2 linked regions of the Yarrowia lipolytica genome follow. The protein of the gene in region 1 interacts with the protein of each later gene in a biochemical or structural test. Links are inferred from orthologs where the notes say so. Each region holds a gene or a part of one and is shown on either strand. Other genes may lie near its edges. The genes, in order: YALI1_E34708g and YALI1_E39306g.

The links.
Region 2: the proteins of YALI1_E34708g (region 1) and YALI1_E39306g form a complex in vitro, tested with the Saccharomyces cerevisiae proteins (2 studies listed by BioGRID). The link is inferred for Yarrowia lipolytica from reciprocal best matches to the Saccharomyces cerevisiae genes VPS45 and TLG2.

What each region holds. Positions count from the first base shown.
Region 1 is NC_090774.1:3,468,580-3,472,842, reverse strand, and holds YALI1_E34708g (uncharacterized protein), read left to right. Parts: upstream 1-1,980; coding exon 1,981-3,720; downstream 3,721-4,263. Other genes in the region: YALI1_E34711g (uncharacterized protein), read right to left, coding at 1-1,725; YALI1_E34686g (uncharacterized protein), read left to right, coding at 4,217-4,263. UniProt on the Saccharomyces cerevisiae protein: Essential for vacuolar protein sorting. Function in membrane traffic between the Golgi and the vacuole.
Region 2 is NC_090774.1:3,928,712-3,932,344, reverse strand, and holds YALI1_E39306g (uncharacterized protein), read right to left. Parts: upstream 1,678-3,633; coding exon 565-1,677; downstream 1-564. Other genes in the region: YALI1_E39333g (uncharacterized protein), read left to right, coding at 1-498; YALI1_E39295g (uncharacterized protein), read left to right, coding at 2,798-3,633. UniProt on the Saccharomyces cerevisiae protein: t-SNARE that functions in transport from the endosome to the late Golgi and on the endocytic pathway.

The sequences.
Region 1 (4,263 bases):
CAGAATCTCATTGACATCTCCTGTAGGGGCCTGGAGGTCCTTCTGCAGCTGACGTTGTTGCACCTCTCTCCGCTTGGGATTCACCACTTTTCCATTCTCGTACCACCGGCAAATTTCATGTCGTTGAAGACCCTCCAGAATTGGATTGTAAAAGGTTCTCACGCTCTTGTACTGCTTATCGATAACCTGGTACTCAGCCTTGCCATTGGCCAGTTGATCCGGCATCTCAGTAGCAGGTAATCGTGGAGATCCGTGCTCGTCGATAGCGTTCTCTCTCTGAAGCCACAGCTTCTGCTGTGTTCGACTTCGCTGTTCTTTGCGAGGAGTGGAGTTGGGGGTTTTCTGTGGCGATTCGCTAGTGACCACGGTATTACTTCCCAGGGTGTGACCCGATGAGCCGTCAGGATTACTCAGCACGTGGTGGCTAGAGAGCTCGAGAGTAGGAGCCTTCTCGGTGGCCTGCTGACTTAACCTAAGCGAGTCATAGGACGAGTTTCTAGATGCAGGGGTCATTTTGTTGTTAGAGAGAGGTCCAAGGCTCCTAAGCAGACCCAGTCCCTCGAACGATGGGTTCCTTGAAGGATTTCGAGAAGGGTTTCTGGAATTTGCCCTCGAGGGATTACAGGAGTCACTGACATTCTTGAGCTCAGGGGAGTCGGGGAACTCTGACTCGTCGTACACCTCGCAGATATTCTCCTGGCTACTTTCGGGGTCTCTGGGGCCATCTTTCTCGACAGACTTACCAAGTCTCTTGTTGGTGATGCCAGGCGCGCTCTTGGGGCTCACGGGAGAATCAGCAGATCCAGGCTGGGCATGCTCATGGTGCTCCACATGTCCTCCATTCTCGTCGATCAGTACATGTTTCTCCTTGTGGATGTTGTTGCTGGTCCTGCGAACCTCTGGCTCTCCTGCCATCTTTTCCTGCATGGCCACCACGGCCTCCTCTCCTTCAGCCATGGTCTTCGACTCCGTGTCAGCCACCTCTCCGGGTATGTCGTTTGCGTAGACCCCATTCTGCTGGTTTGCGTCGGCCTGCTCCTGTTCATTGATCTCTGTTCCGATAGCCAAACGGGAAATGTCTCTTGTTAACCCATTGGCTGCAACTCCGTTATCCCCGTTATCCTCGTCAACCTCCTCCTCGTCCTCTTCCTCAGAGCCCTCATCGTCGCTCACAGGAAGTCCGATGACGACCTTGCCGCCCTGCCGCAAATGCACGGGTTTGTCCTGCTCCTTGGACTTCTGTTGCTCCTCGTTCTCCTTGTCGTTGGCCTCTTTTGATGAGGCAGGCTTGGGAGATGTCTCGTTGTGATTGAGCTTGTCGCTACTGGCGGAGGTATCCTGCTTATTGCTGTTGCCGGAGTTGGTTCGGGTCATGCTGAGATTTGGTCGTGCTAGCCGTTGAAGCGAGTCTGACGATCGAGCCTTGCGCTTAGTGAGACTATCGCCGCTCCCCTCCTTTTGGAGCCCCGAGAGATGGGTGGAAGAGCCGCGCATTTTGGTGAGGTTGCGGGCCGAGGCAGTTCGATGCTTGCTCGATGCCACGTGTTGTTTTTTGACTACCATGGGCCTGGTTTTTGCTGTTGCGACTTTATCGTGGGGTTGTCGAGGCTTTTCGATGCCGCGCATCATGGAGTACATGAGGCTCACGTAAGCAGAACCAGATATACTGTAGGCACTCGTTGCAACGCCTGGAAAGAAAACTGCAATTTGAGTAATCGGGCTCATCTAACTATTATGTATATATTTATATCTACATCCCATAGTTTTACCCTTGCCTTCTATTCAGTCATGTTTTTATGTCCTATATATGCCATTCCAGTCCCCACTTCAAATGGCTTCGCTCTTTATCTGCGTTGGCTCCGACTTCGTAGACTGACACCACCTACCCTAATCCACCATGTCTGACCTGCATAAGGCCACCGCTATCACACCTGCTAGATAGTATCTCTTTCCAGACGGTGAACGAGCAACCGACAGAAAATGAACGTCACGGAAACTGGTAAGGAATACATTACCACAATGGTCGGGGACAAGTCTGGCAAGCTCAAGGTGTTGCTGCTAGACGGGGAAACTACCCCTATAGTTTCCATGTGCACAACCCAATCGTCTCTACTTCAAAATGAAGTCTACCTGATAGACCGAATCGACAACCCCAATCGAGAGAAACAACGACATTTGGCGTGCATTGTGTTTATCCGGCCCAGCAACGACTCCATTGCCAAGCTGTGTGAAGAGCTGCGGAACCCTCGATATGCCTCTTACGAGCTCTACTTCTCCAACGTGGTCAAAAAGTCGCAGCTGGAACGACTGGCTGAAAGTGACGACTATGAGGTGGTCAAAAAGGTGCAGGAGAGCTTTGCTGACTTCCTGGCCGTTAACAAGGATCTCTTCAACTTTTCTCTCACCAGAAACTCGCTCTCCATCTACTCCGACGGAGGGTGGAACCCCGAATGTCTCAACAGATGCACAGAGTCATTGCAGGCTGTGCTGCTGGGTCTCAAACTGCGACCTCAGATCCGATACGACGCCAATTCCAATATGGCTCGAAAACTTGCCGAAGAACTGGCCTACGGCATCAAGCAGGAAGAGAACCTGTTCAACTTCAAAACTCCCAGGGACTCGGCGCCCGTCCTGCTTATTCTGGACAGAAAGAACGATCCCCTCACGCCTCTATTGACGCCCTGGAGTTACCAAGCCATGGTCCACGAATTCATCGGTATCGATAACAACCGAGTGGATCTCCGTAACACGCCTGAGATTCGAGACGAGCTCAAAGAAATTGTTCTTTCTCAAAATGATGATCCTTTCTTCGCTGACAACATGTACCATAACTTCGGAGACCTGGGCCAATCCATCAAGGATTATGTGTCGCACTATCAGTCTAAGACACAATCAAACATGGACATTGAAAGTATCGCCGACATGAAGCGATTTGTGGAGGAGTACCCCGAGTTCCGACGACTCTCAGGTAACGTTTCCAAACACGTTACTCTTGTGGGAGAGCTCTCTCGAATTGTCGAGAAAGGCCAGCATCTGGACGTCTCCGAATTGGAACAAACCCTTGTGTGCTCCGACTCCCACAATGACTCTCTCAAACAGATTCAGCAAATAATCGCAGCGCCCTCCATCTCCATGGAGAACAAAGTGCGCCTGGTTGCTCTTTACGGTCTGCGATACGAGCAAAAGGACAACAACTCTCTCAAGCTCCTGTGTGAGATGCTAGGACAGTATGAGGGACAAGACGCAGTGCAGGCGGCTCAGGCAGTCATTAATTTCGCATGCCTCGCCCAGAGACAAGAGGCTCTCTTTGAAGAAGGTTTCATCGCCAAGGCCAAGGGAAACATCATGGGTCTTAAGGGTATTCAGAACGTGTACACTCAACATCGGCCCTTGTTAGAGAAAACCTTGACCAATCTTGTCAAGAACAAGCTGCGTGAGGCTACACACCCCTATGTACGGGGAGCAGGCCGGGGCCCAGTTTCCAATAATGGAGTCTATGAGGATGACGTGCAGGAGGTAGTGGTTTTCATTGTCGGCGGAGTCACGTATGAGGAGGCTCGTCTTATTGCCGAAATTAATTCCCAGTCGTCTGTCCGTATTGTTCTTGGGGGCACTTCCATTGTCAACTCTGGCGAGTTTATTCAGGAGTGTTTGGACCAGAACCACAGAGGACTCTTGCGTGGCGCAGACCCCGAAACCCGACTTAGGCAGCTGATATAATTTATATTATTTTATGATTGATGATGGTGCACTTTAGGCATTGAGTGCCTGGGTCAAAATTGGTGAGGTTACATAGCAGATTGGAGATGAGTTGTACAAGCTACCTCATGCGGACATAAAAGCCGACAATAAAGGTTGTCGTAGTTGCTGCGTAGACTAACCCCCTGCACGTCAACAGTGCATTGTTTCCTTCTACACTTTCTATATTTGAACTGCCAGATATATACGAACAACATGTCAGGGGCAACATAACTGATTCCAGCCAGCGATACCAAAAACTGAATGAGAGCAATTTCAACCACCTCTCGAGCTGTCGCTTTTGGAACACTGGTGAAACATTGATACCTCTTGTGGCAAGTCCAGGGTACCATCGCTACCACCTTTGGAAAACGAACACTCTCTCTGACGATAAACCTCTGACGATAAGCATGTATATATAGGCCCCTTTGGCAATGACTCACTCTCAGACAAAACATCTACTCTCTCACTTTTGACTATGCAGCTTTCTGGAATCATTCTCACCACTCTTGTCTCTGTTGGCGC
Region 2 (3,633 bases), about 460 kb from region 1:
CACGCTGTGTTTGAGGAGGCTGCTCCTGCCATGATCAAGGCTATCGTTCGATGTACCAAGAACGAAGTTACAGCTAAGGGACCTGAGCAGGATGATATTTTTGTTCGATTCGAGGTTACCCGGCCACACCACCAGGCTATGGCTAACATGTTTTCACTTGCACGACTTCTAAGACATTCCGAGAACTCTTCTTTTCCCCAGAAAGCCATTGAGACTGCATTGGTCCAGTGTGCCAAGGAGGGCAACATTGCGGGACTTAACAAGGTCCTCTCGTGGACTGACCAGATCAGCAAGCGTGCCACTGAGAGAGTGCTGGCATTGTTTCCCTACGCCCATGGCATGGCCGAAGAGCCTCTGACCCCTAGTATTGGCATCTCCAGCATGTTCCAGGAGACATCCTATGTTGGTCATGTGAAATTCCTGGAGTCCCTTAAGAAGAAGACCGAGGCCAAGGAGCTTATCTCTGAGATTGACGAGAAGCTCGAATCCATTGACTAATTTCTACAAGTGTAATTCTGACTACTGTAATCAATGCATGTAAATAGTATTATAAATATGTCATAGTCATAACAGGGCGTGAGAAACGACGGGTCTAGAATCTGCACCATCATCTTGGGGATTTTGAGAACCCTTCTCGGGCTCGTCTACAGGTCTATCATTATTGTTGTTCTTGTTGTCGCCTCCAGTAGCAGGCTTGTCATTAGCTGGAGGGGCTGGGGCCGGTTTGCCAGCCACAGGCTCCACGTAGACAGTATGGGATCTTGGTTTGGCAATTACCACGATCAAGAGACCCACAACCACAAGTGTAAGAAGCAGAATGATCTTGCACTTGTTGGATCGCTTCTGATACACCGCTCCCTGGACCAACTCCTTATCTGCCTGTTTCACGTTAACAGCCATGTTTTCAATGTTGTAATCGATTCGATCCAGCAGGGTTCCCTGGTCAATGACCATAGTCTGCAGGTCTTTGAAGATCTCTGCCAGCTCGATGATACCCTCTGCAATCTGCGCAATCTCCCGTTCTCGTTGTCGGATATGATGGTTCTGGGTGCTCTGGTCGTCCTCTTCAATGAGCTGTTGAGATTGCTGAAGTGCCTTCTGCGACAAGGAAACATCTTCGTCGTGGGTGTTACTGGAAGTGGTCGACTGGAAAATGGGGTCCATGCTGCCCTCGTTTCGTTTGAGAGCCTTGAGATAATTACTCTGCAGTTTTCGGAACACTGTGGACGCATCCTGAATCTTGGTGGCAAGGGCGATTTTGGCGTTCATTTGCATCTTGTCCTGGACAGGATCGCCGGATTGTCGGTCCAGCTTCTTCAGCATGCCCTGGCAGTGGTGCAGGTCCTGGGTGATGTCGTAGGTGATATCTGAGATGAGCTTTTCTTCACCACTTCGGTCATCGAAGCCAGGGAGCGAGTTTTTCCGGTGGAGAACCTCCAGTCGATTGACCTTGACCTTGATTTCGCTCAAAATGCCGTGGACGTCGTCTGAGATGGTTTTGGCCAGTGAGTTGCCCATATGGGCAAGCTCAATCTCATCGGCTCCACCGGTGTTGTCTGAGTTGGCGATTAGTCCCTGTTCCTCCTCATCGGACGCATGTGTTGCTAGAAGCTGTCGGGTCGACCTCGGGAACGATTGCCGATAGGAAATATACAGGTTTGTTCTGTCTCGAAACATGTGCCTTTGCCTTGCCTTTTGCAATGTGGTGATATGCTTGTCCTGACGTGGAGCTTGATATTACACTATAGGTTATGAGATGCGTCAGATGTGTCCATTTTTCAGAGATTGGGAGATGACCATTTTGGGGGCTACGAACACGACCCTGTTCTTGGAATTGGATTTCGAGGTATATAAGGGGCTCAAATGACGCCCTCAAGTCTCACCATTATTTTGTGATCACTCATCTTTTAATTCGCACATCACCTACGTCATTAAACTCACCATGCAGCGGTTCCAGTACCGATTCGGCAACCACTCGGCCGTTGACAGGCACACACTGTGCAGAGGCGCGGACTGAAAAGGTTGCGATTCCGACATTGGCCTGTACAGCATGCCGTTTGGCCGTTGAGTGAGTCAGATAGCGCGAGAAGATAGAGCGGCAGGTGTTTTAGACTAGACGTGTCCAGACAGGGGAAACTACGGGTATTGTAGCCTCCCACTATCTATGCTAGCTTGCATGTTTAGAGGCCTTGAAGCGGCTACCGGAGTATATATACGACAACAATCGCGGGCGGGTGAAATAGCACACATGCTCGCTTGTGGGCTTGGCTTGGCTCTCTCTTTTAATTTCTCGTCTCACCATGTGCAACCCACGCTCGGATTTTTCGCACATTGGATGTTTCCCCGAGCTTCTTTAGTTTGATAGCACATGAGGAAACAAGAGGCTAAAAAGCAACAAGGATGTGTTGCACCATGAAGCGAGAGCAGAGGTGCCGTATATTAGACAGGGTATGTGGCTGGTGGTGGCTAAACCAAATGACAGTGCTCATAAGGGATAACACGCGAAAAACATGTCCAAACAATTGCAAAAATAATGGCAGACGCACAACTGTTGTACGGTTGACGTGGCCATATTGAAGCGGTACTCCATTGACGTACCTACCCCGTTCCCTCCGCACACCTTCCACTGACTACAAGTAGCTACAGTTAGTCCCACTGAACCTGCATGACATAACAGTTGGTACAGTTTTTTGCGGTTAGAGTTTCTGAGCTCTCCCCCATTATATAAAAAGTGTTGCGACTACTTCGATCCAAGGCCATCTCCAGATCCGCCTTTTTCCACACACGAACAGCAATCATGACCGAGCTCACTCACCCTTCCATCGTCGACGGCTGGTTCCGAGAAATCAGTGACACCATGTGGCCTGGCCAGGCCATGGCCCTGCGTGTCAACCAGATTCTCCACGTTGAGAAGTCCAAGTACCAGGACGTTCTGGTTTTCGAGTCCACCGACTACGGCAACGTTCTCGTCCTTGACGGAGCCATCCAGGCCACCGAGCGAGACGAGTACGCCTACCAGGAGATGATTGCGCATCTTGCTCTCAACTCCCACCCCAACCCCAAGAAGGTGCTTGTTATTGGAGGTGGTGACGGTGGTGTCCTGCGAGAGATTGTCAAGCACGACTGTGTCGAGGAGGCTGTCCTCTGTGACATTGATGAGGCCGTGCCCCGTGTTTCCAAGCAGTACCTCCCCACCATGTCTGTCGGATTCAACCACCCCAAGACCAAGGTCCACATTGGTGACGGCTTCAAGTTCCTCCAGGAGTACCAGAACACCTTCGATGTCATCATCACCGACTCCTCCGACCCCGAGGGTCCCGCCGCCTCTCTCTTCCAGAAGCCCTACTTTGAGCTCCTCTCCGGTGCTCTGACCGAGAAGGGTGTTATCACCACTCAGGGAGAGTCCATCTGGCTGCACATGAAGATCATTAAGGAGCTGCGACAGGCTTGCAAGCAGGTCTTCCCCTCCGCCGACTACGCTTACTGCACCATCCCCACCTACCCCTCCGGCCAGATTGGTTTCATGGTCTGCTCCAAGGACAAGGACGCCAACCTCCGAAAGCCCCTTCGATCCGTCTCTCCCGAGGAGGAGTCCAAGCTCTACCGATACTACAACAAGGACATCCACTCTGC